2 linked regions of the Struthio camelus genome follow. The protein of the gene in region 1 binds, or shares a complex with, the protein of each later gene. Links are inferred from orthologs where the notes say so. Each region holds a gene or a part of one and is shown in the gene's direction. Other genes may lie near its edges.

Evidence for each region.
Region 2: the proteins of ATP2B1 (region 1) and NPTN are in contact, whole or in part, in a cryo-EM structure (PDB 6A69), measured with the Homo sapiens proteins. The link is inferred for Struthio camelus from reciprocal best matches to the Homo sapiens genes ATP2B1 and NPTN. Residues at the interface, in NP_001353449.1 of Homo sapiens: Phe954, Asp955, Ile956, Asp957, Glu996, Arg997, Asn998, Val999, Glu1039, Gln1040, Leu1042, Trp1043, Ile1045, Phe1046, Met1049, Gly1050, Leu1052, Leu1053, Gln1056; in NP_036560.1 of Homo sapiens: Arg245, Ser246, Asn248, Arg332, Arg334, Pro339, Pro342, Phe343, Gly345, Ile346, Glu349, Ile350, Ile352, Leu353, Ile356, Ile357, Tyr360.

Annotation. Positions count from the first base shown.
Region 1 is NC_090942.1:49,802,696-49,817,855, reverse strand, and holds the start of ATP2B1 (plasma membrane calcium-transporting ATPase 1), read left to right. Parts: upstream 1-7,225; 5' UTR 7,226-7,399; exon of another isoform or gene 7,400-7,893; intron 7,894-8,732; exon of another isoform or gene 8,733-9,097; intron 9,098-15,160. UniProt on the Homo sapiens protein: Catalyzes the hydrolysis of ATP coupled with the transport of calcium from the cytoplasm to the extracellular space thereby maintaining intracellular calcium homeostasis.
Region 2 is NC_090953.1:24,103,582-24,119,752, forward strand, and holds the start of NPTN (neuroplastin), read left to right. Parts: upstream 1-10,481; 5' UTR 10,482-10,691; coding exon 10,692-10,779; intron 10,780-16,171. UniProt on the Homo sapiens protein: Probable homophilic and heterophilic cell adhesion molecule involved in long term potentiation at hippocampal excitatory synapses through activation of p38MAPK. May also regulate neurite outgrowth by activating the FGFR1 signaling pathway.

The DNA of each region.
Region 1 (15,160 bases):
AATGCGTGTGGTTCAGCCTTCACGATAAGGCTAGGAAAATCCTAAAAGAAGATCTCTAGAGGATCCCAAACATCTGATCTGAGCGTACCTGAAACTACAGTATCTGACTGAATCCTTGACTGGGTCCCCTCTGCACTTTTCCCTACACACAGCAGAGAACTACGAACACTAGGATCCTAGTACCATCCCCCTTATAAAACAAAAGCCTCTCCTGCATTATTCTTAGTCCAGAGTAGAGGACCGAGAGAGATGATTCTAGCTGAGCTTCATTCAAGTCACCCACACACAATGGCACAAATATGCTAGGGCAGTGGTTCTCAGATGGTTCAGATCAGTGGATCATCACCAGCCCTTGAGATTTTTACAAATCATTACATATGCTGTCAAGGAAAATTCATACATTAGGAGTTTAGCAGAACATACTACTAAATACAGTCCCACAGATCAGCTTTGGGCCCTTCATGTTACCTTGGTAGGCTATTTGAAACCTATCATAACCGCCTCCAGTTTGAAAGCCATTGCTAGGGGTAGAGGGCTTGAAATTGAAAGACTCTAGAAACTGATTATAACAGCGGAACAGACTTGGCATTTTTATCACCAAGCTGAGAAAAACTCAAAATATGAAGATACTTAAGATTTACATCTATATCTAGAGCTGAGTAGATCTAAAAGTCCCTTATAAAGACTAATTTTTAAACTCCTTTAATTAATCCAAGGTATTTTTAGAAACAGAGGTGTTAGTTTTAGCAATTACTAAGTATGCACAACTCTCTCTGAAGTCACTCAGAAACAAAGATAATAAAGTTGTCAGTGTTTGCCCTGCTGTTATGTACAAGGGTTTTTTTATATCTTTTAATCCAGTTCTGTCCTAAACCAAACTGTCTTTACTGCCGCATAACAGGATATAGCCTCAAAACAACCTGCAGCAGTCCTATTACTAGATATGTCCACAACATGATATATTCAAACTCTGCTGGTTCAATACATGGCTGCCATGTTATGTAACTGACAAGAGGAAACTTAGGCAGAGGAAAATCCTATTGATCTCTTCTGCTAATACATAATAGGAATACAGTCAATGTCACAAGAAGTATTTTAATTTTTTTCATTTTTACTAGCTAATAACCTTACAGGAACATTCTAAATTATATTAAAAAGATTGTTCCTACTAACCTGAATATTTATAGTTGTAGTATTACGTGATAATAGAGACAATTCTCCAGTTGACATTTTCTTCTTTTCGCTGACCATAATCCAAGCTTAAGCACTCTAAGTATACTTGATTTTATATACGTACAGGTATAAGCATTTTATGTAATACCTTTTCTATACTCTATACTACTATATATAATGATTTACATTAATGTTTTAATACTATAGATTGCATATCCACACATTTCCACAGCTACACAAATTTAGATCTTTATATAGATAATCTTCAGATCGTCAATTCCTAATCAAGAAATAATTATTCCTGAATAAAGCTTGCACAACTGAGCCCAGAGTTTTAAACTCTGTGCATGTAAAATAGGTCATTATTAATATTTAAAAATGCTACTTTAGGTAGCTGGGATTTTTTTCTTGTTATATCTTTAGTATCTTAAAAACAGCCAAGATGATTTAGATCTGCATCTGATCAACAAAGACGACCAATAATTTATTCAAGTATGTTACCATCATTGTTTATCACTTGAATGATTAATTCTTGACTAAGGGAGTGGGAATAAGGTAGTGCATTTTTTTCTGATATTCTTCCTTGAAGGAAATTCAGAATGGGAGCTATTAGCTCTAATGACTCTTAAATGTTTCAAAACCATCTTGAACAATCGCCAAGGGGCAGAAATGTTAATGTTTGCTTAAGGAACCTAAGGCTTAACTGAATTATCTATTTTCTTATCCAAAGGACTTTGAAGTAGCATCAGTAACGGACAATTTACTGTCCCACTCAAGACAATTAGTTAGCACTGAAGAGAGAGGGGAGGGGGCTATATTTACTCTTGCTAACACTAATTTCTGTGAGTCAGTAGTGTGATTTAGGCTGGTCAGTGATGTTGATAGCCTCAGCGAAAGAAAGCTTGGTTGTCCTTGATGTTTTTTATCTTTTAGAGAGGGAGGGGAGGAAGGAAAAAATAAACAAAATACTTATAATTTGATCACAGAGCAATGTATCACAACGTAAAATTTTATGAACCACATTTTCAGTCAGCATGAATTGGCACAGGCCCACAAAATCAGTGAAATCAATGCAGCTTCACAAATTAACATTAGCTGACTATATGCTCTTAAAGGTAAGATCACAAACTTCTCCACAGAAGTGTAGCATTAAGAAGTCTCAAAAAGCAACATATCTGAAGTCATCCACAGTAATATAATCCAAACAAACTGGCCTTTTGTATTTTATTGCCCAATTCTACATACCACAACCCCCCGAAAAGTACTTTTGTACCTTAGTAAGTATACTGGATATTCCCACATTATGAATCTTGGGGTGATAGCTGTGCTGCCTGACAAATACATATCCATACCAGAGAGAGGCACAGAGATGGATGACGGCTAACAGCAGTTCTTTGGAGATGGGCAACAGCAGTGCTATTTTTAACAAACTCTTCTAGTGAACTGGACCTGATTGCCTCCAAAATAGCCTTGCTTGGGACTTTTAGCCATCCTTTTGGAATTCAAGTATTAAGTAAAAAGGCTAAACAGCTATAGGGGAAGAAAGTAAAAGAGGAACACTCCAAAAATAGGGAAGTGTCACATTGGAAGACATTGGAGTAGGAGTAGTTGGGTGCTCATGGTATGTCACTTTGGGCTGTACTAGCCCACTATTTGCAGAGTAATAGCAAATATTATTCACCAGATATTTCTCACTTTTTAAGAGGCAGCCATCGTAGTGCTGCCTCATTGCAGTGGTACTTACTTTTATTTCATCTATTTCTCCTGAGAAGCCTCCCAAACATGCTATTTTCTGCTCTTTATAGCAGTGTAAAGTATAGTTATCCTACCCTGCTCTCTTTTTCTTGTTTCTCTCATGCCTGATCCAAGTCCTTACAGAGTCAGATTCTGTCAGTTCCAGGATTTTATACTTTGCTATTTTTTTCTTTGAATGTAGACTTTGTGCCATTGTTCACGAAGTATCTTTGCACTCTTTTATCTGGTCTGGGGCTGTAATAACAGTGTGCCGTGGCAGCGCCTGAAAAGAACATGAAAAGAACAAACAGTTAGTGAGCATATGAAGTCCAGTATGTATTTTCGGTGGATTTCAAGTATGACATAAATGAAAAAAAGGTGATTTGTAACAATCATTCCTTTCTCTTGTTCCTTTCTTTATCTTACTTCTTTTTTATTTCTCACCCTCCTGACTGTGCATTATCACAGTGAAAGAATATAACAGAAAAATAGTTAAAAAAAAGTTTTGTGACAGAAATGAAAGTGAGAACGAAATTTCAAATATCTTAGATTATCATATGTATTCACAGATGGAAACATACTATGCATAAATCCTGAGTTCCTGAACAGTCAAGAAAAGAATTTTGAGCTGATAAATCTGTGGATGTTTATGGATAAGTTTATTTCCTAAGGGAAAGGTAAATTTGATTTCAAGATAAATTAGGTGAGCTCGCTTTGTTTCACAAGGGCCTTGGTTAAACTGAATGGGTGGATGACAGTGCAATCTGGCTACGATGACATCTACAAGACAAAAAGAGAGGTCAATTGTCTGCAAAGTCAGATTGTTCAGTCTTTTAGTCAACATACTGATCAACCTGTTATGATACAGGATATTGTCACATAAGACACCACCTTAACGACATTGCAGAAAGTTGCTGTAGAGCTCCAGCCAGGAGCACAGGAGGAAAAGGACTCTTGCCTAGAATGGTCTGTGTAGAGTGCGTGTGAACAGAGTAGTACTGCACTGAGAAAGTCGACTGAAAGATATGTAGCTAGTCTGGTAAAAGTTTCTCATGCAAAACTGGTGGAATCTTTGGCCATTCGTTTCTTCATGTTTGCATGCAAAAATTCTCCTAACTTTTCACACTTGCTGCACGCTCTGCAGTTTCATCAACTTTAAAAAAGCCTTGATTCCACTTACTCCTATATTGGCTCAGTTTGAACAGGATTAGCACTCGCAGCACAGTCAGGAAACCAGTTTCAAAATCTAGTGAGGTTTTGATCCATGCACAAACTAGGAAAAGACTGTGCTATTTTCTCTTCTTGGGTCAAGCCCATTACGCAGGTTTGCTGAAAGGCCCCTAGTTCATACAGAATGGTGAAGGTGGTCACTCAGGCCTTGATCACCTTACTCCCTTTTGACCAAATATTGTAATGATCCAAACACTCAAATTCATGCTCTTTATGCTAAAAGCCTCATAGTAAATGGATCAGATGCAGGCAACCCACTTAAATTCTCTGTGACACATTTTCTGCTTCTGTAAAAATCTATGGTACTTCCGTCACTACAGTGTTGGTCACAAAATGAGTTAGAGCTATTGTCATTATTTGTCAAATCTGGCCTTTCCAAACTGTCTGCACACCACACTGAATTTTCCTGAAATGGTAATGTTTCCTCAAAAATGAAATGAAATATTTCCAGAAATATTCCTTTGTGCATTTTATTTTTGCTTGATTTGTATGATTGGTGACCTAAATTACATGGAAGGTTTTGTTACTCGATCAGATGTGCCTAACCTTTAGAAATAGGAGGAGTGCCTATTTTCTCACGAAAATCATAAAGAATATTGTAGCTGGAGGATTAATCTGAAAAACTTTTTGAATACATAGGATACTCTCTAGAGCTACAAGGAGTTTTTCCTTCTTACTTTCACTCAATTTGTGCTGCATGTTTTTATGTTGTCCTGGTATATTCGTGTAAGAGGAACATTAAATAGTAACTATTTTGTGCCTTCCTATGAAAAACATATCCACTTAATGAACTGCTACAACAGTATCTCACAAAATTATTTTGGTACCTATCACTTCTATCCCTGCTTCCTTCTCACAAAGGAAATAGAAACAAATTATTCACATTTGATAAATGAAAGACTGAAGCACAAACTGACTACCTTCCCCAAAGACAAAATGAAGCAGGTACAGGCATGTACTCAGATTGCAATGCCTTAAACATATCATCTTCTTCTTAGCTTAACCAAAGCTAATTTTGTCTGCCTGAGAGCTAGGAGATATGACAGAACTGTGCAGAACACATCTGCCAGTCTAATAAAGCTGGAAATGTAATTTTCAAGTGCCTAGGGAAGCTTACAGTGATCAGTGCAGATACGAGTGCTAAATTGCAGGTAGAATGTAGGAGAATTTGTTTGATATGTGTTCAGATAGTTTTATAGTCCCCTTCTGGGAAGAAATGCAAGAAAGAACCTCAATAGATTCGTCTGCAGGATTTGTCTACCTCGGTATTTTGATTTTTCATTTGACCTTCAGATATGCAAAGGTAAGGTAGTATTTTTAGCAACTTCCAAAACGGGCAGGAGCCAATTACTGCTCACAGCCTCTTTTGATTGCCTCACTTGAACAAAGAGAAAAATGTAACAGGGATACAGGTAAGAAAGAGACTATGAAGCTCAAGCAAGCCGTGATAATAATGTAGTTAGGATAATTTATTTATTTGCCAGTCCTTGTGGGCTGTTTCGTACTGACTTCAATCTGTTGCTTTAACTCCCTATTCTCTGTAACATCTCAGATCTATAACAATAATGATACATGAGCTTCGTTCCTTTTACACAGCATTGACTCTAAAAGCAGTGGGGTTTGAACACTAACAATGGAGAAATAGCATTTATGGTAGGCTAAAAGAATTTGACAGCCTATAGCACAGCTGGTCCATGCATTCTAGTGAAATGGTCAACAGAGAGGTTGACAGTATGTCAAAATAAAACTCTAAAACAAAAAGATTATAGAATTATGTATGTTTTGTGTACAAGGATTTTTCATTGAAGAGACTGATTTACCGCATTGAAAAAAAAGACTTGAAGGGTTTTTTTTTTTTTTCTCAATTCCATTCCCGGACCTGTTATTAACTTCCAGTGTATCCTGACAACTCACTTGAGCCCAGATGTTGACACCCTCGTTAATTTTTCTTTGTCCAACCTAAGAGTCCTCGGGCTTGGGACAGAAAGGTGCTGAACACGTGCAGCTTCTGTACGCTTCCATTTCCTCTGCAAAAGCTGCTAGTGATCCCAGAGAGAGGTAAGCCTGAAGAGGCTAAACCTGATGATCCCACACCCCACAGCACTCAGAGCAACACACTCACTTCTGTCGTTTAACCTTTACCTTCTCTGAACCTCAGCTGGCCCCATTTAACAAGGAACATAACATCTATCTCACTGAGGCAAGCCTCGCTGATGACTGCTTCATTTTCGCAATTGTACTGAGATCTTCACCTAGAAAACGCTGTGGTTCTCATTTTCACTCTTAATAAACGATGAATAAACCGGTAGGGAGGAAGGTCTTGGTTCCTCCCCACCCCCACCCCGCCCCAGGAAACGCTGTCTCCACAGTCACCAATCTGGGGCTTAACGCCGTCCCTCAGCCCCCCTCTGAAGACAGCACCGCACACCCGCCGGGGGCGAGAGGGGGAGGCCGCGGTGCCGACCCACACCTACCCCGCCGCGGGGCCGCCGGCACTCCCCTCCGCCACGGCGCTGCCGCTCCGCTCCGCGGCAGCGCCCCAACGGCCGCCGGCAACGACGCCTCAACGGCCGCCGGCGGCGCGCGCGCCCCCCCGGGGCGGGGGAGGACCGCGCGCGGGCGGGCCCGGCGGACCGTTAGGGCGGCCGCGCGCGGCCCCGCCCCCCACCCGCCGCCCTCGGGATGGCCGCGGCCCCCGCCCCCGGCGGCGCCCCGCCCCCCCGGGGCTCGCCGCGTACCGCCGGCGGCCCGCCCCCTCCCCCCGCGGGACTCCGGCCCCTCCCGCCGCCGCCGCCGCCACCGCCCCCGGCGCAAGGGCAGCCGCCGGCCCCGCCGCGGAGCCCCGGGAATTGGCGGGCGGGGAGGGGCGCAGCCCACCCGCCCCGGCCCCGGCCGCCGCCCCCGCGGGAGCCGCTCGTGGCAAAGTCACCGACCCCCGAAGCCCGCCGGGCTCCATCAAACGCCGCGGCCCTGCCCACCGACGTCATGGAAACAAGCGCGTCAGCCGCCCGCCCGCCAGTGGCGGCGGCGGCGGCGGGGGGCGGGCGGGCGGCGCGGGCCCCGCCCCCCGCGGCGCCGTGCCTCTCGCAGGCCCCTCCCCCTCCCCCATTGAAGACGCCGCACGTCGGGACCCCCCTTTCCTCCGCCGGGCGGGGGGCCCTGTCACGTGGCCGGGGCACGGCAGGCAGGCGGTGAGGGGGCGGCGGGCACCGGCGGTTGCGGGCAGAGGAGAGGAGGGGGCTGCGCGGCGGGGAGCGAACAAGTGAGTGATCGCGGCGGTGGCGGCGGCGGCTCGCTCCGCCCTGCGGCGCCCGGCTCCTGTAGCGGTTACTCGGTGGGGCTGGGGCTGCTCGGCGCTGCCCGGTGCGTGCGGCGGGAGCGGCGGGCGCTGAGGCGCGGCGGGAGCGCCCGTGAGGCGGGAGGGCGAGTCGCCGTTCCTGCCCGCTGAGGCGGCGGGGGCGGGGCGGGCGGTTCGTGACCCCCCCCCCCGCTCCTTCCGCCTCCTCCTTCACCCGCGGCCCCTTCCCCGCCGCTCCCCTCCCCAATTCGGTCGCCGCTCCCCCACCCCCTCGTCCCTCCCTCCCTCCCTCCCTCCTCCCCGGCCGCAGGGCGGGGGCGGCGCGGCGGGGCCGGCCGTGGGCAGGGCGGGCAGCGCGGGGACCTTATGCGAGCGAGCGAGCGGGCGGCGGCGGCAGGTTCCCGGGCGCCTCATCGCGGCCCCCCCCCGGGCTGGCGGCTGCAAGCGGCGGCGTCGAGGTAAGCAGCGCGGCGGCGGCGGCGGGGCTCGGGGCGCCGCTTCGCCGCCGGCCGGGCAGCGGCGCGCCGGCAGGTGCAGGCGGCGGTGGGGCCGCTGCCCGCCGGGGGGCTGCCGGCCATGGCCGCTGCCGGCGCGCCCCCGGAGGGGGGGGGGGGGCGGCGCTGCGCCGCACAGCACCGGCGGCGCGGTTGGCGCATGGGGGGCGCCCCTGCGGCGGGGCTCGCTGTACCGCGCCGAGCGGGCGGGCGGGCGGGCGGCTCTCCGCTTTTTGTCCTCCCCGCGGAGGTAACCGGAGCGCGCACCTGGCCGCCGCGTAGCCGGGCGCGGCGTGACCTTGAGGGCAGCCGATGCGCGGCTCTGCCTCCCGCCGAGCGCTGCCCCCCCCCCCCCCCCGGCGGCGGCGGGGCGAGCTGGCACGCCGCGGCCCCGCGGAGCCCCGGCCCGGCGCGCACACACCGCGGATGAAGGTGGTGCTGAGCCCCCGCTCGCCGCCGGCTGAGGCAGCCGCTGCCGCGCGGCGCCGGCAGCCCGGCATCATCATCACCGCTGCCGCCGCCTCCCTGGGGCGGTTGATTTTGGCGGCGGCCGAGGCGTGCGCTGCTGCCCGTCGGAGCAGGCTGAGCGGGGCTGACTGGGGGCTGCCGGTCGGCTCGCTAGCGCGGTGGAGGGATGCTGCGGCTCCCGGGGAGGAGGGAGCCTGGGGCGGGCGCGGGGCTGCCGCCGGCGCTCAGGGCAGCGCCTGGCCGGCCGCGGCGCTGGCGGTGTCACTCGCCGCCAAATGGTGTATATAACCTTTGGATGCCGCACCACGTGAGCGGGCCCGGGCACCGGGGGATGGTTTCTGCCAGTTGCAGAAGAGAGCGCTCGTTATTCACGCTGGAGTGTGTTTCCCGACGGGGCGGGCGCGGGAGGGGTGGGGGGGGGGCGTGCGGAAGAGGCGAGCGCGGAGGCTGCACTGAAGGCTGCCCCGGCTGGCTGCAGCGCGGCTCCTTCTCCTTGGCTGTGGGTAGAAGCGGTTCGGAAGGAAGAATTTAGGATTTCGGGAAAGGAGGTCTCGCGGACACCTAACCGATAAAGCTGGTCTCGCTGATCTGTGGAGGCATTTCGTTTTATGTAACTTCTAGCAATGTAAGTGACGATTCTTGGAGTGGCTAGCGATGTAAGCCTGAATTCATAAAAGCTCTTGAAAATCGGGAGTTAAGGGTGAGTCTGTCCCAGATTTTTCAGCCTGATGAGTGATTAATTTGCACAGCTGCGATAGGAGTCTAAATAGTGCTATTTGTGTTCCACGTGCAACAAAAATTGTTGCTAATATTTAAATGTTTCTTTTTTGTTTCACTTCATTTTTTCCTCCTTGCATGAGAAGGGGGGGGGGGGGGGAAGAAAGGTACACAGTAACAAAATTTCAGGGGCTTTTTTCTTGTCGTTATAAACTCCCCATCACCGAAATCAAAAAGTCTTAAATAGCTATTACATGCAGCATTCTTAAATTCTTAACTTAATTTTGTGGGGCTTTTTTCTCGCATACTGGTTAAAAGTAACTGTTAATACCTAATGCCTTGTTTTAAACTGTCATTCTAACAATGTATTTAAAGTGATATCTGGCTTAACAGTGAGTTAAGGGGTAGCTAGCTGAGTGAATATTCAAGTCATGTCCTGGAACATGTCCCTTCTTGGAAATGAAGTCCCAAGCCAAGTGTACCTGTGAAATGTGTCTTGCATCATTAGCAATTTACAGCCTTGGCTTACTTGTTGGCAGGAGGAGTATAGTGTATCTCTGGAAAACCGCATCCTGTCCAAAAGGTGCTGCATCTTTAAAATGCTTGTCAGTCCTACTGAATTTGAGTCGAAATTGCATTTTTAGATGATAAAGATTTTGATTAGATAGCTTGCCAACTCCTTGGTTCCTCTTAGTGTCTTAATATATGGCTGTAGCTATAGCCCGTGTGACTTCTTGTTTGACTGTTGGAGCTTTTCAAGGGTTTGTTCCAAACATCACAATAGCAAATTCCGACAGGAGTAAACTTGTGTATCTTTGAACCATTGACTCTTTTGGCAGGAATAGCTTCCAATGTACTAAACTTTAATACTTATGGCATAATGAATGGAAACTCTTTTAGTGTCAGTGGAAAAAGTGGTCACTGAATTCAATCTGAAAAATACTCGTACACTTTAAAAAAAGGTGAAATTGCTGGTCTGGAACAGTGTTGTTGAGTTGTTTAGGGTATTGCTGCTCTTTTTATTCATTAGTCATTGAAAGCTTTCACCTAGACAGGGGTTATTTGGGCTCAAGAAATAGGGTTCCTGTGTTATTTACAAACACTTGAAGGCTTTCCCAATCAATGTTGCTAGTTCAGTGCTGAACTGCAACATTACCTCATTTAGAAAAAAAATAACTGCTTATGATGTCAGTAATTCAAATGATATAAGTCAAAGCTAATTTTAAAGTGGATCGTGGCTGTACTGTGTGTATGCACAAATACAGTGACTCACTATTGCATATTAAGTAGCTGCTGTTGTGTGTTTAGCATTGGATGATACATTTTGGTTTCTTATAAAGTTATTTTACCTAGAGCTAACGATATAAGCAAAGGATCCCTATTCTTATAATATCCAATCAGCTAATAATTGTTAGTGATTCTAGTAATTCAAATACTCTTATTTAATGTTAAAATCTCATTTAGGAAGTGATTCTTTCACTGGACCACAGTGTAGAGAACTTCTGTCAGCTATTACAACTGAGAACCTCTAAGTCATGTTGTGGAAGCTTAACAGGCAACTGAGAAGCTTGTAAATGTGTTGTAGCTCACAGTTAGGAAAATCTAGCAATTAGCCTTTTTTTTATCTGTTCAAGATTATTCAGGAAATAAGAGAAACATAACAGCTTGCAGGTTTTTTTATAAGATGGAGGTATTAAGAAAGAATAAATGTAGATTGGATCTATTGAAGCCACCGCAAAAGACTTAAATTTGCCAGCATTTAAGATTTTAGGAAGAGCTGGGACCTGTATTAACTAACCAATTCAAAATGGATTCGGCAAAGCAGTCAGTAACATGCCGTAGCAAGCAAGTCTCCCTTGACATGGGGGTGGACAAGATAACCTGAAGTATCTTCTAACTCAAATTTCTTCCATTAAGGTAGACTAAATATTAATGGCACTTGAGCATTCTTTACCACTGAAACATGACCTCAGTGATGTCTTTAAGTGTTTGAACTATTTTAATATAAAACGTCTCTTCCCTGTTTAACGGGAAAAATAACATAAGTGCAACAAGGATGCATGTTTTACTCAGAGTTGAAATCAGCTTTCAGTTAGCAAAGATTAACCTAATGCAGAGTAATGGACAACCTTGATTAGCCCAGGGTATATAAATGCAAACGTCTTTTGACAAATAAGGGAGAGTACTTGAATCTATTGTAGATTTTTGTTATAGAAATGCACACTTACCTCTTTCCAAAAAGATCAATAAAAATTTAATCATATTTTTCAACTATTTCAATAATAATAAAAAAAAACTCATTAAAGCTGCTGTTCAGGAGATACTGATCTTTGTAGAGTATTTTAATTAAAAAATAGATAAGATCTTGGAGTTGCAGTACTGTGTCTAAAAAGTTAAGATTAGCTGTTCCTACTAGCTTCTGTAGTGGGTGCAACAATCTCAGTAGTTTCATTTTTCTGTACTCAAACATGTTGAATTTGCTCCTGAAGGCATCACTTATTTCTCCTTACAAAGTTAACTGATTGAAAAGCAAGGAGAGGAGTAGATGTGACGTATGTGGTGGTTTGCTTTTTCCTTCTGGAAGGGAACCCATATTATGACTTAGGTAAAGGATGGATATTAGCCAGAAGTGTTAATAGCTAGTTATTCATATAACTGAAAATGGCTTGTTTTTACGTTTGGTCATCTTCACTTTTAAATGGTTGTCACTACTGTTGATTTTCCCCTAACTTTGGCTTCAAATATTGGAAAAGATCATGTTCACTAAATACACAGTGAAATGATAAATAATAAGGAAGGAGCTGAGTTTATGGAAACAAACCCAAGTATTTGCATTCAAATGTGTAAAGAGCAAAAATGGGTTTAGTACATCTGGGGCAGGGCAGGTACCTACAGAAGATGGAAGCAATATTAATAAGCACTATGGATGGAAGATGTATTGGAGGAATTTCTGAGAGGTACTTTGTACAATTAAATTACGAGACAAAAAGAACTGTAATAACCCATCTTGGAGCAGTTGTACCTTTTCACACCTGAATATAGTCTCAACACAAGTATATGGAATGGTCCAGTTTGTATTTTATTCCTATGTTATCAGGCTTTCAAATACAGCTTATAAAAATGAGTTTCTAGCTTTCATGACAGCTCTCACTTAATATGAACAGTAAATTTGGGGGATCTGCCTGCTCAAGCTGTTCATATTCTAGTAAACATTATGAAAGTGATTTCTGCTGCCACTTATAAATCTTATTTTAAATGACAGATGCCAGCAGGAGGTGTTATTCGCTTAATTTTGGTGAACTGCAAAGTAGGCATGAGGCTTTCCCTGTCGGTATTTGAAAGGTCTAGTGGGAGAGGAAATGTTAAGAAAATGTAGGAGAGTGTGTGGGTCTTCTTTGTTTTTTGTTTCTTTTTAAGAAAGGCTGGAAATAACTCTGAAAGTAAATCCAAATTCTTTTGGTCCAATAAAGTGAATGAGATATAATGATATGTTACAAGACAAATCTCACGCCCTCTCTTTGGGGGATATGGAGGGTACAAGAAGGTTTACCCTCATGCTGGTGGCAACTGTACCATGCAGTTAGGGAGTACATACATAAATTTTGAAGATGAAAGGATATTTCTGACAGGATTTGGTGCTGGCCACTAAGTGTGATTCATTTTGCTGCTGAAAGTAACTGGTGTCTCACAGTGCTAGTGTTGGCATATTGCTGGCTACTCTCTGATGTACTGCTTCGGAGAAGGAGAGGTCTAGGTGAGTTTCTTCATGGCCTTCCATGTATGCGTAACTATGAAGTAGGAACAAGAGGATCTCCCTTCAGTGGTCTACATGTCTTAATTTTTTAATGTGGCCTACAAGTGGGATGCGGCCTTAATTCTCGTTGCACGCAGGAAACGTTCTTAAAACACACTTCTGTAGAGCCTATCACTTGTAATCTACCCTTACTTGTGCCCTTATATTCACTGAAAGATAAGGTGGCAGTAGGGAATACAACACTATTAGGTTCTGACCACTTGGTATACAGTGTCTGATCTATGAAGAAGAGGCCTTGGATGTGCCATACTTTGAATAGTTGATAGTGAAAACTGTATTTACAGATGATAGTGAGACTTCCTTATCTCAAGGCAAAAAAGATGGTTCAGCCACTCTTACCTTAAGCAGCTATTTAACTTCTTTGGACTTGCCCAGTGTAAGAGTCAGTGGTATGTTCTGTTTCAGATTGTTTTATGTCTTCGTTGAAACCCTAATTTTGATACTCATTTTAAGGTTTTTGAAGCCAAGGTGATCTTAGTCATGATTCCATGAAACAATTTCTGATTCCATGATTCCATGAAACAATGTGCTCCTGCAGAGAGATCCTTTTGCACTTGTTATTAGACAAACTGTCTAGTTGTCCATATGGCTCTTTCGGGATTGCTTCTGTGTGCATGCAAATGCAAGAATGTGTTGCCTGCAGTATCAGGTATGACCTCCTGAACTATTACATTTCTAAGGAATCTGAGACTTCTTGGGTTTTATTGATAATCAGGTTTCTCAAAAAATTATCTGTGTGATAGAGTAAACATCATCTGTGACTTCGGTCAAAATAGCTTTCTGGCTTTAAAACAAAACAAACAAAATAACTAGTAGCTTCTTATGGGGAAAGGAGGAAGAAGAGGCGTTAGCTGTATATGATGGAATTTTTCCACAGTAGAGTACCATGTCATGATGTGTTTGGTTGACATAAGGGGCTTAGCCATTAGCAGTGAAGAAGTGAAGTCTTGCAGCTACTGCAAACTTTTTTTTGGAAGACTTATAGAACATTATAAATTGGTAGGAGAGTGGCCACAGTAAGCCTCTAAATAAAGCTTGGAAAACTTTTATTTTTATATGGCGGTTTTTTTTAAAAAAGGGTATCTTTTGATTCTTAACAGAAGTACCTAGCCAATCTTCTGTTTAACATTTCATGCAAGATGCTTGATTGCTTTTTTTTATTACTCTGAAGTTATGGCACGTTTGTGTCATGGCCTTCCAAAGCTGGTGTGCTAGATCAGCGTAATCCAAAAGTGTTAGAACAAGTTCTTTTGTACTTTACTCTGTCTTTTGGCTTGTCACTATGAGGGGAAAGTTTCATGGGGTGACTGAGGTCGCCTAATAGCTACTTTCATTTCCACCCTGTCCTCAGCTGCTCAATGCTTTTTCTTCTCCTGTGTGCTACTTGTGCTTCTCTGACTCACTAGACCACCAGATCATTTGCACAAGACTAGTGCAGTGAGCATGTTCGGCAAGGTATAAGATGAGAGGCAAGGGTCACACAAGGGAAGTGGCATTCAGGTAGGTGGTGCAGGAGTAGTCCTCCTTGTGCAGCTGTCACATGAAGCTGTTCTCTAGAAAGTACTAATCTGTCAGAATAACTTTCTTGTCTATGAGAAGTAGATCAGAAGATAGTTCAAGTGTCAGCCTTGAACTAATGGCTTTCCAGGAAAAAAAAAAAGATTTGGGTCTATCCTTTAACATTTTATTTAATGCAAAGATATTTAAGAGTATTACAACCGTTTGTTGTATACCTTGGTGGCTTCTAACACTGAAGGAGAGGAAATGAAAAACTGCTTGTCATATTGTGTGTACAGACTTGCTTTCTAAGGCTTTGCTTAGGAGATAGCAAAGGAGATTGTAGCAGGAAATGGATAGAAAAGATGACAGGTATGGTTAGTCCTTAAGTTGTCTGAGAAAGAGTGGTATTTCTTAATCTATGGCTGCTATTTAAATATAACAGAGACTAAAGGAAAATCCTAATATGCGTACTGAACAGGAGTTTGTCACTTCTATCTAGGTGCGATTGCTGTTGCTGTCATTGAGTCACATTGTACTTACATTGCTTCACTTTGGTCTGCTCATCCCTTTCTTCACTTGGGAATGAATCTTGTGCAATACTTTATTGATATGCAGTGTATTTCATAGACTTCATACTTAAATTAGAGCAGGGTCTAGCAACCTTACTCCAGTGAGGTAGTGTAAAAGATGAAATGATTTAAACAGGTTGGCGGTATCTGTGCTACACAGCTT
Region 2 (16,171 bases), on another chromosome or scaffold:
CCTTCCCTTTTAGACCCGACCTCCCAGGGAAACAAGGTGCGGATCCCACTGGCTGCCTTTCCATCTTCTCCCCCATCTTCTCCCCTAGCAAATTTTAAATCAAGTCTGAAATGAGGTGGAAGGCTACGGGGTGATTCAGTTCCCACCAATTTTGTGAGAAATTCAGCAGAGGAGGGAGCCCGAGGGCAAGGCAAGCTGTCCCAGCAGCCCTCCGCGCCCTTGGGAGCAGCCAGCTCGCATGGCGGCAAGCGCGTTGTCCACCCATCCCTCGGCCACCCTGCTCCATCCCTGCTATGGCGTGACCAGCAGGGTCACGGGGAGATGGAGTTAATACTATGTGGGAAAAGGGACAATTAGAGGGGGAAAAAAAGTGACGTAAGTGAGGGGGAGCCAGACAACTCCTGTGGTGCTGCTCACAGGGCAGCCGGCGTCAGGAAGCAGAGCACTGGGACGCAGACATCTCCAGACTCGCCCCACCGATGTGGGTCGATGGACCAGCAAGACCTAGAGCACGGGCCAAGGGATGCACACGTTCATGCCGGAGCGGTTCTTCTCCTGGTGAACCAGCCCTCGGGAGCAGGAGGCACTGCGCGCTCCCAGGTGGCGTCGACCGTGCGAGTCTCAGCAGAGGCAGGAGCTCCTCCGTTGCTTCTGCAAAGCGCCCTTGTTCCTCTGACGCCGTGCCGTCACCGCTAACCATACCCGGCCCGCCACCACATCCTCCTGCCAGCAGGCGAAGCTTATTTTTGGAGCCCACCTTGTGCTGCAGAGAACAGAGCTGATCCCAAAAAAGGCCCTTCCCAAAGCAGCAGCTCCATCTCAGCATCATCTTCCTCCTCGTTCTCCTCTTCCTCCGATGCGGTTGCCAGCAAGGGAGAATGGCAACTGCAAAAAAAAAAAAAAAACCCACCACCACTAAGCTCATCTGTGACTGATGCTTTAGGCTTATAAATTGCAGCTGTCCCATGGCAACGTGTCAAACGTATCGCGCACAAGTTGCTGCGTTCGCACCATTACCCACATCGCAGTCCTACCCGTAGCCATCTGTTTGGAGCCGGGCCTCTCGACAGGTGGCTAGTGGGATGGCAAGAGGAATCATGAGCTTCTTAGGAGATCTTACCGCATGGGATACACTGATTTTCTCCCAAATACCCTGCCACCTGCTTAGGAACAGTCCCACCAGGCGCTACCTGGTCTGCCCGACCGGAGCAAGGCGCCCACGCTAAACCCCGTCATGCTGACAAGTAGCCTCGGGACAGGTATTTGAGCTCGTGCAAACACGCTTCTCCAGCAGCTTTTTTTTAACCTTTAGCCTGTGGCTTGTTTGCGCTGTGCTGAAACCAGCCCTGAAGCAGGGCAGATGTCAGCAGAAAACTGCAGCACCCGCTTCCCTCCGCGCCGTCCCCGTCTCTCTCAGCTTTCTCTGGAGACCGCAGGTAGGAGTCCTGGGGGCTGCATCGTTTCCAAACCGCCGCTTCCCCCAAGCGCTGCAGCCCCGTTCCCGCGGAGGGGTCCAGCCGAAGGGTGACACGATGCTCCCCGTAGAGGGGCTGCTGCTCGCAGCTGCACAGTCCCCCCAGAGCACCCACCAACCCCGCTGCTCCTAGCACCCCGGGCTTGCTGGAGCAGCACATTGCCCCAGCACCCAGCCCCAGCAGCCACAAGTTCTGGCAAGGACCTCCAGGCGTGAGATTTCCAGCCTTCCTCCCACTCCTTGGAGCGACCCACTTCAGCCTTTCCCAAAAAACAGACGTGCCTTTTGCTGCCGGCAAGCTCAGGGCGGGTTTCCTCCCCGACGCATTTGCTCTCCAGGCTCAGCAGCCCCGACCCCCACCACAGCGTAACCCACTCGCATCGCAGGTTTTGCTGGGAGAACCAAATTGCTCAAGTGTTTTTTGTCCGTGAACTGTAGACCTGGAAGAGGAGACGTCACCGACTGACCGCTTGGCCCAGGAGGCCCCAGCCTGGCCCAGGTAGACCCCTGCCAGCTGGTTCGTCACACTCACAGACAGGTTTCCCCTCAGTGCTAAGCCTAAGTTTGCTTTTTTACAAATTAAGCTCTTTCTTGTCCCATTCCTGCTTTGCAAAAAACCCAAGTTCCCTTTCACGTGCTGGAAGGTGTCCATCCCTCTTCGGGCATCTCTTTTCTAGACTAGACCACCGCAGTCCCTTCACCCTTCCCTGGAGGCTGTGCTTTTTTAAAATCTCTGCTCTCTCCTGTTTCCTTCTGGATTTTCTCCAGTTTGACCGTGTCACGTCCAACATCCAAGACCAGGCACAAGATCTCAGCTGAGGGCCCATCGGCGTTGAGCAGAGCGCAGCCGCCACCTCCCACTTCAGTGGGGTCCCTCTTAACAACACCACCTTTCCTCTTCCTTAGGGGCTGCCCTGGCCAGTTTATCATCTTCTCCCACCCCCCCAAAAAAACTAGTTCTGCTCTCTAAGAGCGCATGGGAAGGAGGTTTCAGACTTTCCACTGGAACTGGCTCCCCCCCTCCCCACCACACTTCCCTAAAAGGGTAATTCAAACAACTGTAATTGTACATTATTTTCTTTCTGAATTGCCCCTCTGGATACTTTATCCTCTTTCAGCATAGCTCTGAGGAGTACAATCTTATCTTTCAGCTCCAGCAACGCTGACAATTTCCTATCTTCTGACACCTTCTGCTCATCACTACGTTAGGCCTTTGTTGTATGGTTGACTAAAGCAAAATTGCTTTTTGTTGCAATTTTTCTGCACCCTAACCCAGAAATGCCCAAAGAATCAGAGTCGCCTTTCACAAGGCTCATCTGTTGGCTGCTGTAAGAGTCGCCCCTGCTCCGTCTGAGGCTCCTCTAATTCTGTACCAGCCGTAATGTTTGCCAGCAATTAAGTCTCCCCTATTGACACTGTGCAGAGCTTTTGTAGGTGAGATACTAGAGATATTCAGCTGAGCCCATGGGCACTCCCCGCTGTCCCCTATTGTTTGTTTTCTCCTATTGAAAAAACTCTTCTGCAGAAATTGCTTTTCGGTACTTGCATCCAGAAGCTTTTCCCAGCTCGCTCCGCAGCAGCTTCCTCGCTCGCTTTTGTCTAAGGAGCGAAAAGCTCTGAAGCTCAGACTTTTCCCCCTACGATACACCACATCCCAAAACTCTCCCATGGGAGACATCCAGTCTGCCTTCTTCTCCCCATTTAGCCCAGCACCAGGCCTCAGCAGGTCACAGTACAGCCCAGCATGGTCCTAGCCCTCAATCCAGCTCCTGGGCCAAAGCCCAGTCCAGCAGCAGGGCAGGACCAGGCATAGGCTCACCTGCACAGCCCAGACCAGGGCCCCAGGCCTGAGCTTAAATGGAGCCCTGGAGCAATGGGCAGAGGGTGTGGGGGGGGGTCCCAGGTGAGGCTGCTCAGGCCATTAAGGGCCCTGACACTTAGAAAAGTTTGGGGCTGGACCCACAATCCCTCCTTCCTCATGGTCACTATTTATTTTTGGCATCACGTTCCCAAGGGAGAAGGGAGCCTCAGGTTGCATCAAATTGCTTTTGTTAAGCTGCTGCATCCCTAGTTAAAGTAAACGTGGCCTCTCCTCTGGAGATCCTCTGGCTCGGGCTCTGTCCTTCCCCCCTCTCCTTTGACTCCGCGTTTTCTATGAGCTGCTGCCTTGTTGCACCCTGAAGGGTGCTGGTTCCCGCTGAATTGCTCTTAAAAAGGTTTCTTACCCAGTTTGCACCTGCGACTGGGAGGGACGTCCTCCGTCCCCAAGCCAGCGCAGGCAGCCCCAGCTCAGAAAGCCTGATCCCGGCCCGAGGAAGCAACGGGAGCCGGGGATATTAAGGCTAGAAAAACCACACATCTAATCTGACCTCCTGCAGCACGCTGGAGGTTGAGCTGAGGGCAGGCTTAGCTAAGTGTATCGCTTACCGCACTGCACAGGCAGGCTGACACCTTTAATCTTGATTTGGCTGGTAAAGGCTGACCTGCAGGGGACGCTGAAAATCAGTATCTTTGCACGCGGGATACGTACAGTCGCCCGCCGCCCATCGCTGCAGGAGAGCTGGGCCGCCGTGGGCCGGGCTGCTTGCGAGCTCTGGGCTGATCTCCTGCCCGGCCTGTCCCCTCCGTCGGCCTCCGCATGATCCAGGCCTTATTGGCTTCATTTCACTGCAATTACAGGCGTTTAGTCGAACGTATTGGCGTTTCTGCCCGGCTGGCTCCGCGCAGGCGGCTGCCGGCGGGCAGCGGGAGCGCCGCCCTCGCCGGCAGCCCGGCCGCAGCCCCGCGGAGCTGCGCTCGCGCGGGCGACGCTTCCCAAAGCGCTGCGCGGCGCAGGGCACCCGGCGGGCGACGCAAGTCAAGGGTTGGCCCGTCCTCTCCTTCTCAGCAGGCCCAGGGGATGCCCGACGGCGAGCAGGGCCAAACCCAGCCCTGGCGAGGAGGTGAGGGACCGCGCGGCTCCCTTCGCCTCCTGGGCAGCCTCTGCCTGCGGGCTCAGCACCTCTGCGGCAACACCAGCGCCCGGAGGGCGCTAACGGGCATTAATAGCCCTGAGCTGCCTCCCCTGGGACCCCCACCCACCCCCTGCCCATGGCTCAGGAGCCCATTTAAGCTCAGCCTGGTCCTCTAGTCTCTTCTTGAGTTTTGCTGTAAGAGTGCTGGTCTCCAGCTTTGCTGTGGGTCCTACTGCTGCAGGCTCCCAACTCCTAGGCTGGCTTCCCAGCTTGACCTTGGACCTGTTTCATCGCTATGGACCTGGCTGATGATGCGGACTCTTGGCTGACCCTGGCTGCCTCCCCTGGTTTGCTTTGCTCAGGTACTGTGGGGCTGGACTGTGGCCAGCAAGACCCCTGCCCTGCTGCCCATGTTGTCCCCCCTTGGCTCCCCATCCCTCAGGGAGCAGCTAGCTCTCGCTGCTGCCTGACACAGCACCCCTGCTTTGTAGAGAGACCTCCACCATCAGTGGTTGGTGCCCTTTGCTCATTGCAAGGACCTCAGGCAAGCCTGATCTCCAGCTTAAAAACATCACAGATGGCTCTGGGGAAGAGCCTGAGGGATGAGGTGCCCCAGGTCACCGCGTGCAGGACAGAGAGCTGCAATGGAGAGCAGCTCCCCGGCACCCCCGTGCTTTTTACCTCCCAGGGAGATGCCGCGGCACTCGGCACGTCTGGGCAATGCGGAGGGCAACGGGCCGCCCTCGCTGCAGGAGCTGCCCCAGCCCGGCTCGCACCGCCGCACAGCCGGCCCTGCGCTAATCCATGGGTGCCACCTGCCGTCTGGTTTTGCCGGCATCATCCACAAATTCACCTTCAGGCAAATTGCTCCAGATGTTTGGGGTTTTCCCCCCTGCTTGCCCGTCACCCGGCCCCTCGCCGTGACCCGGGGTGGGAGAGAGCGAGGCCGGGCGCAGTCTGCCTTCGCCGGGATGGCAGGGCCGGGGCAGCTCGCGTGCGTTTGCTCCTGGAAATGAAGCTGTTGGACTCAGTTTAACCAAAAGTTGGGCGGGGGAAGAAAAACATTACCGTGTGAAGGAACCAGATGAAGAATTTGCAATTAAGAAAAACAATTTTTTTGGTTGGTTCAGAGAGAAGGCAAAAAAGCACTTTATTTTTTTCTTGTTCTTCCCCCTTTCCTGCAGAAAAATAAGTCGAGGTAAGAGACAGTTCAGGGTTTTTCTGGTATAACAAAGGCAATCCAAACATGCCAACGCTTCCTGTTTGAGCAGTTTTGTGTTTATATTGCACATCATTTTGACCAAAACTACACTTTCTGTCACAATGTTTGTTTTGCTTGAAAAGACATTTCTCCTCGGGAAAAAAAATAAGTTAAAACATTTTGACCAGTTCTGACAGGAACATTTGAACATGTAGGAGAACAGGGGGGCTGCTCGAAATAACCGAACTGCCATCACCGAGTGGAGTTGACGCGTGTAAAGCTAACTGTCTCCAAAAGAGGAAAGCACATCTACACCCATCTTCTCTAATTACTTTCCTGGGGTCTTTCCTCTCTTTCAGAAACACCATTTCTCTGCCTTTACAAGTTTTTTTATTCTCCTCATTCCTTAGAACATTTCTTTTTCCAGTTCAATCTTTTTTCCTCCTTTTAATTTCTTTCCTTTGGGATTTTCTCTTCCTCCTCTGTCTTTCCCCATGAATTTTGCAAAAACCTGTCCCCCTCACCTATTTTTTTCCTGTTGGCTTTTCCTCCAAGCTCCAATACTTCCATCAGCCAGCACCCGTTGACTTCCTAGCTGTGATTTTTGGCGTGGCAGCGTTAGGAGATGCTGAATGCTGGTAGCCGGACACAGGGGAGGCTGCTGCAGCTCTGCGTGCCCAGGTCCAGCCAGCAGCGATGTCCCAACAGGCACGCGTGCGTACTGCACATACGTACACAGACAGAAAACACAGCACTCATGCAAACAGAAGCAGCACCAACAGCCTCCTCATCTTCTCTCTGGCTGATCAGGACGAAATCCTGTTGGTGGAAAATCTATACAACGCGGATTCCTCTAGCGATTGGTTTTAGACACTCGATCCAGTTGCTGGCACCCCAGACACGCGGGTTCTGGGACTTGTGGTCTGACTCCCAGGGCTGGTGCTTAGACCTCCAAACAGACACACACACGAGGAAGAGCGAGCCCCTCACTCAGAAAAATAGTTATAAATGGAGTTTAACAAAAAATGTAGTAAGACTGTGGTGATCAGCTGCAGGCCAGACAAGCGTACTGGCAGCCCCGTTTACACACGACTGGCCCTTTTTATCCCCTTTTCCCTTTTACTTTCTCATGCTTTTTCCTCCCCAAACCACCTTGGTGCCTGCCTTTCCCTGCCCTGGGTCCTTCTCCTAAGCATCCCGTTACAAGTTTTGCACAACCCCGAGCTGTTCTTCCCCCGCGTCCCGTCAGGAGTCGTTCCCCTGTGGCTGTAAGGCGAGTGGGAGAGCCACCTCTGTTGACCCACCAGGAGATGAGCGGGACGGCGAGCTGCAGAGCGGCACCCCTCCAGCACTCTGCAAGGCAAGCAACGGCCGCTGAGGCCGAGGAGCCCAGCAGCTCGAATCGGAGTCTGGCTAGCCTCACGTAATGTGTGTGTGTTGCATTACGTGTTTGTTAACTCATCTGTCTCTCTCCCCCGCACATGCAAAACAAACACAACATATATCTCGATCACGCATTTAGCAATGCAGTCTTAGCGTGCAGAGGCATTTTGGCTTGCAAGTACACCGTATGTGTGTCTGGCTACAAGCTGATTTGAGTACAGATCTGTGTTTTCACTAGCTTGGCACCATCAAAGTATTAACCAATGTTATTCAGCATTTCTCAGCCCTGTAAGACCCCTGCAATAGCTAAGTTCCCTGCTAGATGTCACGCAACGTTTCACACTCTACCCTACGTTTTCAACTTTTCAGTAACAGATTCAAAAGAAGGTGACTGCAAGTGAGATCTCTAGCGGCAAAGCTTTCTTCAGGTGCCAAACTATATCAATAAATACACAGAAATAAATACACAGGTGTCTGTTAACCAGATAGAGTTGCAAGAAGACGGGCTCAAAGACGATGCACACATAGGGGCGATGCCTCTGCTGCTCTACAATGCAGAAATAACTGAAACTGTTTCCTGAATTTTCTTCTTCTTTGCTTGTTTTTAAGTGTGAAATATTCTACGCCACTTTTGCTGAAGACCTGAGAATAATCAAATGAAGGCATCCCAGGTGGTGAAAAGATGGGCTTTGACTGAGGGGGAGGAAATAAAGGGATTTTGAGTTACAGTATTTGGAAGTTTTGACATGTCCAACTTCCCCACCCACTCACAAGGCCAGGAATCACCAGCGCTGGGATCTGAACCCACACCAGCAAAATCGTCGCCCATAAGGCCCACACTTCAAAGATTCAGTCTGGTGGAATTTGTAATAAAAACTGTTCTTTCCTCACTATCAAGCCATTATGCTCAGTAAATATTACAGTGGGTCCAGGATTGGCAAATCCTGTTTTTCTACCCAGCAACTTCACTATAAGTACGATCTGTTGTAAGAGGAAAGGCTTTTGCAGATGAAAAGAGCAGGTTTTTATTCCTTACCAGCCACGGCAGCAGCGTATGGCAGAACACATCTTACTATCTATATATAGCCCGTGCACACTACAGGCCTGGTATTAACCCCATTGAAATCCCTCAAAAAACTCTTGAAGACAACAGCAGGCTTCAGATTGGGTCCGTCGCTGGCCCTCCTCTGTGGCAGGCCAGGGTAATCCTCCGCTTCGGTTCCTCACGTGCATTGGCAGGAGCTCTGTATCAACCATAGCCCGCAGGCGAGCTGAGTCTGCACTTCTTCATTAACGGCTCTGGGTAACCATCTCCTAGCAGAGCCTTCGAGGGAAGCCCCGGCGCCAGGGATCAGCGCTCCAGCTGGTCACAGCGCCTGGCAGGCACGTGCACCGGGGCGAAACCAGCAGAAAGCGGGGCAGTGCATCTGGGGATTGCCCCCAGGGCAGAGCCAGAGAAACCTGGCAGATGGGTTATGCAATTGCGCAGAGAAGATCTAGCAAAACTGCAGTGTGCTGAACCGGTAACGGGAAAAAAAAAGCCTGCTAACTTCGGCCCAAGACTCTGGCAGGATGACTCATTGCGAGCTACCATGGTTACGAAACAAGTATTACTGTGCAGATCCAAACCATGCTCAGAGGCAAGTGCATCACTAACTAGTTCCAAACTTGGAAAACATTCGCGTGTAGGTAAGGCCTAATACTGAGTGGGTGTTTGCAAAAATGAGAGTTACAGCAAAATCCACTGGTGCTAACGTTTGGCAAGCAAAATAGCAGGCCAAAAGCAGAAGGAAGGACACCATCACGTGAAGCCTTGCTTTCTGGTTCTTCTTGCCTATTCCTTCTGGTTTTCAAGTGCTACTGTCAGAAATGTTCCACAGCATCATAAATGAGGCGAAAAAGAGGATGTTTCTGCACCATGGCAAGAAAACAAATAGTAGTGTCACAGATGATTCAGCTGGCAAGAGCACTGAGTCATGGAAGCACACCATGGCACTTCCCAAGCGCAGGATACATGGCACAGTGGAATATCTGACGCGGATCAAATTTAGTACCGAGGCATCCTTGGAGAGCTAGGGACAACCCTGACTACATAAAGCACTAAACGCATGCCTAGCCACGTCTCCTGTGTGACCTCAGCCACTCGAAGCTGCAGCGGTAAGCCCATGGCCATCGCCAAAGTCCTGAAGCACTCAAGCAGCAATTTCATCGGCCTCAACTGAGTAGCGGGGTTTTCATGGAAAAGGTGTGTCAGCTTCTCCTTTTCAGTCTGGTTTCTGAGACACACGGACACTAAAAGGACACGGATTCTGCTCGCTAAGGATCCGCAGAGAATAACCAGGCCAGGCCTGGGAGAACGATCAGGGAGGTAAAGCCAAGCAGCCACCAGGAGCCTGCTAGGGAAGAGGGAGGGGAAGGCACAATTTGTGCAGCCGGTGCAGGCTGCGCCCTGGTCAAACAGGGTGAGAAGCTGTTACCCTTCTGGAGGCTACTACCACGGAGGTGAGCAGGTGCTGCATGCTCTTCCCCAGTCCACCGCGTTGCGGGTTCACTGACGCGGCCTTCAGGGCAGGGATGTCTGCAGACAAGGTAGAGAGCAGCAGAGAATTAAGACATTATTTTAACGGGATTTAATGGCAGGGAAGGTTTCCCTGCAAAGGGCAATACAGCTTCTAGCGGTGCTAGCACGCTCCCAGAGCCGCTTCTCCGGTTAGAGGAGAGGATAAGGAATATTAGACGCTCCTTGGACAACTACCGCAGGAGTCTGATCCTGTAGGGATTTCTAGATGGGAGCGGTGTTCCCAGCAGAAAGCAGAAAACGCGTTCTCGAGGGATTTTCCACTTCTGTGCTGGTGCCTCCCACAGTCTTCTGCGAATCTCGTCTCTCCCCGCCTCGGACGCTTGCTAGAGCGACGGGTTGGCGTTCGGCAGCGCGCTCCAACCGTTTGCGCCGTCCTGTGACTCAGAGCTGTCAGCAATCCGGCCTAAACGGCCAGCTAAACCGGGTTTACAACCGCCTGGGCTCGCCGGAGCGGTACAGAGGCAACCAGAGCGCAGGCCTGTCTGCCTTTTGCAGCCAGGGGAACGAAGAGGGGACTTAGGGGACCTGCCCAAATCGGGCGAGCCTAGAGGTGGGCGCAGCCAACGGGCGGCCGGTTCCCGCTTGGCCTGCGCCCGACTCTACTGCCCGCCCGGGGCAAGCTCCTCCGCGGCCTGGGCCTCAGCGCCCTGCCCTGGCAAAACACCCAGCCGCTGGGTATTTCTGCGGAGAGAGCGGTCTGCCGTGCTGCTGCGACGGCCGCCCACGGGGCCCGGCCACAAACGGGCTCCCCGCGGCGGGCAGCGCAGCGCAGCGGGGCCCGCCCGACCCCTCACCGCCCGACCCCTCACCGCCCGACCCCTCACCGCCCCTCACCGCCCCTCACCGCCCCTCAGAGCCCCGCGGCGGCGCCCGCCCGGCCCCGCCCCGCCCCGTCACGTGCCGCCGCCGCCCCGCCCCCGCCCGCCAAGTCTCGCGAGAGCCGGCGGCCGCGTCGCGAGAGCTGGCGCTGCGGTAGGAGGTCGGAGGCAGAAGGACGGAGCCGGAGCCGCCTCGCTCCCCGGTGCCTCCCCCGCCCGCCCGCCTCGCCCCCGCGGCGCCGGCCGGCCTGCCTGCCTGCCTGCCGCCCAACACAGGAGGATGCCGGGCTCCGGGCCGCTCCCCGTGGCGCTCTCGCTGCTGCTGGTCACGGCCAGCCTCCTCCCGGGACCCGCCGCGGCGCAGAGCGGTGAGGGCGGGCGGCGGCGGCGGGGGGCGGGCGAGCGGGCCGCGCTGGGGTGGGGGGGACACGTTGCTAGGGGGGCGGCTGGTTGCTAAGGGGGGGCGGCTACGGCGGGGGCGGAGGGTCAAGCGGCGGCGGCAGGGCGGCGCGCTGGGCGCGGCGGTGGCCCGGGCGGAGGGGCCGGCGGGCCCGGGGGCGGTGGTGCTCGGGCCGCCTCCCCCCCCGCCCACCTCGGCGGGCCCGGCCGGTGCGGCGCGCCGGTCCCCCCCGCTCGGAGCCGGCCGTTCAGGAGGCTCCCGCGTTGTTTGGGGGGGGGGGGAGCGGGGCCCTCGGGGAAGGGGCGGCTGCGGGGAGAGGGGGCGGCGGGGCTCGTCCCTCCTCGGGGGCCGGGGAGGCGCCCGGCGCTCCGAGCGGCGGCCTGCCCGGGGCCTCGCATAAGATGGAACATCTCTTCCCGCCTACTAAATCTGCATCTGCTGAGCGGCTTTAAATGATTTATAATGCAATAAAATTGTAGTTCCTTAGCAACTAAGGAGATCCTCTGATAGGACCGCAGAAGGAGGAAACCCACCCTGCTCTGTTCCTTATAGGACAGCATGGGCTAAATCTAGCCCAGCAGACCTCCTCCCTGATGAGTTTGCAGCCAAGTGCATGACAATTAGTGGCAGAATGAAGCGGGGCCAAGAGGCTGGCCTAAATGAGTGCGATCCTAGCACTCGCAAGGAAGATCCTGCGGAGCTTATAAAAATGCGTGTCTTAGCATGTGATCCTGAGGCCAGAGTGCATTGTAAAGTCAGTCCTGGGCGCTCCAGAAGCGCGGAAGCGCAGTCTTTCTGACGGGTGCTTTCTTGTGCAGCATCACGGTAGAAGCGCCAAAGGGAGCCCTTCGGCACGTAACGGCTATAAAGGTCAGGGATACTGACCTCACAAGAGACCGATTTACGTGCCCTGGGAAAACCTGTCTAGGTGGGAACAATACCTCCTTACTATAACGGTGGAACACAAGTTTTCATCGTTGCTCCTTTCTCCCTCCTTCCTTTCTGCTCTGGAGGTGCTATATAGACCTAGCAGTTACCTTCTCTTGAGGTGAGAATTTTGCATTGCAGCTCCATGGACTGCATGCTCTAGAATAACCAGGAGGCTTTCGGTGTGTTTGACGATTGTAATGCAGACATAGGTTAGAGTAATAATGGCCTGAAGATCCAAAATATGAATTATTGCCTTGGGATGTGCAGTGCGAACCAGAACTGAGCTTTATGTTAACCAAATAGAAGCAGCTTGAGTAGGTTCATTCACGCTACATGAATGAAAACTGTCGGCTTCCTGCAAGACCAGGGACTTTCTGAGGAGCCTAAAGGAGTCTGGGCAAATTCCGGGGACGTTCAGTGGGAACTGGGCATGTCAGTCCTGTGAGCTCCCAGGAACGCGCTAGTTGGATGGTGCTGCGGAGGAAGTCTGGTTCTGTGTTGCAGAGATGCTGCCTGGTTCCTGTGATAGTTCTGCTATCTGAGCACCATCTTGGCAGAGTTCATCTGCCGATGTTATGTTTCCAATTTCATTTGGGTGAAGGGAGGTGAGCAGTCTTCGGAAACACGAGCTAAGTGGGTCGTGTGCCCGAAGCTTGCTAACTCTACGCAGGAACAGCAGCGTGTCCAGGAACAGCAGGGTGTCAAATGCTGGCAGTTGGTATAGAAATTCTAAGTAGCCGGCTGATAGGCAGTGCAAACATTTGTTGTTTGACAGTAATTACAGGTCTGAAGGTCAAAAATGGAATAAATTTTGGGGGGTAGATGGAAGTCTTTAGCCTTTCTGTGCGTTAATCATGACTCCCATTGCTGATGTGAAGCTAGCCAAGCAGTACCAACTGTTAGCATGAGGTAAGACTGGAGACCCCAGATGTAGTCTGAAAGCTCGTTCGTTTTCATTTGGTTAGCTAGGGTCATCCTAGCGATTAAATGGTAGCAGAGACTGAGCTTCTGTGCTGAGCTAGAAGGAAATGCGCATAGGTGTGTGGAAGCCTTCTTGAAAAGGTGTAGAGCGCTTAAATTTTTGTAAAGCAAAGTGAAAGGTGGGAAATCCTTCTGAAAGAGGGTTTATTGCCGCTAGTTGAAGCGCTGCTCCAGCTTGAATATGAAAAGAAATATAAAGACTGTAGGCCCAGTCGTAGAGGAGCTGTTTTCTTTTGGCCAGCAGTGGCCAAGGAGACGCTTACCAAGGCAAAACAATTCCTTTTTGCTTTGGTGTAAAGGATGTGTACAGCCATTTAGTAAACTGTGTATACTTCTTGCGAGTCATTTGAAAAATAGTGTTCTTTGAATAGGTATGTCTGAATACGTTAGTGACACCTTGGTTAAAAATCCCTGCATAAATACTGACGGGTATGCTCTTCGAAGGATCCCAGAGCGTACACCCAAGAGTTGCACAATCTGTTATTGATACGTAGCCATCGCTGTAGTGAAAGGTGACACTCCAAAGTGTTTTTGGAATGCAGAGTAACACTATGCCAGCTTAGGATGAAAAATGAACAGTAACGTACCTGTTGAAACTGCAGGAGAGGTCACAGTGCTTGAGGAAACCACTCACTTCACCAAAAATTATGTGCTGTGGAATCCTGGCTTTTCTGTTTCTGATAAGAGATAACTGTTGAATTGCTAGTGATTTTTTTAATTAATGTAGTTAAGAATATTTGTAATTAAAATGACCTACAGATTTAAGCCTACTAAAACTGTAAGTTGGTTTTTTGACGTTTGTATGGATTCTTTTTAGAGCTTCTACATGAGCACCTGAAGATCACAGAACAAATTTACATGTCAGAAATTAAAACTTTTCCCAAGGAGTCTTCTGAGAAACTTGTCAGGTTCTGCAAGGCTGCACTTCTGATGCGTGCTAGTTTGTCACTTGTATGCAGAGCGTAGCTTAGATGAGGTGACAGAAAGGAGGGACAGAAGAAAGATGAGGAAGCATGAGGAGGAACAGCTGGAAAAAGTCAGTCTGCCAAGAAGATCAGTGTAAAACTGTAGCTTCCAACTGTGTTTTGTTGGAAAATTACTTTAGCACTTCAGACCAGATGGTATCCTCCTGATGGAATGATGCTTGACCTGGGTACTTGTTGTTAAATGACAAGCCTTTCTTTGGTTGCTGTTTTTTAACCATAGCAATATATTTGCCTCTCCAGCTGCTTCTTTAAAACTAAAGACTTCAGTGTACTAATACTTTCACCTTAGAGTGTTTGGATTTAAAGGAGCATGGCTGTATTTTTACTCAGGTCTAAAATAGATGCTTGGACTGACTCTGTTAAATCCCCAGTGCTTCTCCAGTACACCGACGTGTGAGCTGATTCACTGTTAATTTTTAAAGTTAGTGCTTCCCTTTTCAGAGCTCTGGTCTGGCAAAGCGCATTTGAAAACAAACTCGATCACGTTTTGTGTGGAGGAGTGAGTTCTTCAACATCATATTTTTTTAAGTTGTGAATGCTGATTTAGTAAAGCTACGTAGGATATTCAAAGCTAGACGTAAGGACAAATAAAGAAGTTAGCTGGCACTTGTGTTGCATCTGCTCTTCTCATCCTCTGGTTGGGTGAGTGAAAGGGATCTAGCTGGCTAAAAACATGATGTGGCTTTTCTCATGGCAGAAACCAGTACAGACGTGACCATAAAATCGAGGTGTAGTTGTCTCCCTTTAAAAAAAGCAAGCAGAAAACCTTCCTTTTATGCTTGTAATGCTTCTTCTGACTGCTGATTCTCATCCATTTTGCACTGATTGTATCCTCTGACAAATGATTTTAATGGTCCCTAGGTAAAACTTAGGAACAGTTTCATGCCGCATTTATGGAGACTGAGTGTGGGCTGAGCACGGAGGAAAATGTTCAAAGTTCTCTTCTCTTTCCCACTGTTTCTTTTCTTCTTCCTCCTCCAACTCCCCCATAGGAAGCTTAAATACAAGCAACATGACTAATGTGTCTACACTTGAAAATTGCACTGAATTCTAACAGATCTCTGCTGTCAGGTTAGGCAGGAATAAGCACTAGTACTAATATCTCAAACAATATTTTTAATTCTGGCAAAAACCAATTCAAACCCACAAACTCAATGAAACTAGTTTTAAAGGGTGACGTTTGCTCAGAGCTTTTTCGCATCCTTACAGTATGATACTTTACGGAGACTACTTGCTGTTACGTTCAGGATTAAGGAGCGTTGTCTCCCTCACAGTGAGCTGCTTCTCTCGCTGCAAGTTCTACTTTAGAGGAGGCAATTGTAAAACACAGCATTGTAAGGGGCAGTGCTAGCCTGTGAGGAGTCCTTCTGTTGTAAAGCCAGAGCAACTGTGTGTGTGTACTGTTCTTAACTTCTAGTGTTGGAGGTGCTCCAGCTCCCCTTTACAGATCTGTTAAGATTAAAGTTAGCTAATCTGTTTCTGCTTATCTGTTAGCTGGAAAGTTCTTCTGTAAATCTAACCTAAACCTGCTTTGCTATCGTTTTAGGCTTTGTATTCCTTATTCTAAGCTGCACAGCTATGGGGAGCAGTGTATTTCCTTGTCATCAGCAGCTACTTTCAGTGCTCCTCCAGGTTACTTATCATGGTCGTTCTTCCTGACCATTCCTGTTGCTTTTCTGTGGATTTTCTCCAGTCACGTTTCTTGGAGTGTGATATGTAAAACTGGACACAATTCCAGTTGGGACCAGACCAAAGTTCAGCAGAGTGGAAGGATCACTTAATGTGTCTTGCATATGGCGTTCCTGTTTGCATCATAATACAAATGCTTTTGTGCGATATAACGTTGTTGACTCGCGTCCAGTGGGATCCCTTATGGTGGTCAGATCTTACTGTGCAGAGCTGCTACTTTACGTTCTATTGCTGCCTAAACCAAGTAGTTCTTATATGTTCTTATTAAAAAGGCATCTTATCTACTTCTGATGTTTTCTCCCAGTTGTCAAAATTGTTCTAAAATCTTACTCTTTTCTTGAGCACCCACCGCTACTTCAGCTTGCTTCTAGCCCATCATTGGCCTTATTGCTCTGTTTTTCATCTACTTGTTTGCTTGTTATAACGTAGCTTCATGTACCGTGTGTGTGTTTTAAGAGATAGAGGTCTTATTTTTGGTTGTGAGACTCTTGTATGAGGCAATATTAAAAGCATTACCAAAATTAGGAAAAATATATCTATTCCTTTTCTGGAGTGACCTTGGTGGTTTTTGTTTTTGATTGGCTTTTTAAGCAGGAGACTGGATTGTCGTGGTCAAGCTGTAGCAAACCACTGACATGGTAATAAAGCTCTGGTTCCACCCCCGACCCTTCTGCTTTTTTGAGCGCTTACGAGTAGACTCGTTCTGTTGTCTTTCCAGAGAGTGGTATTGAATTGACTGATCCACGATTTCACGGTCTTTCCATTTTAAGCATA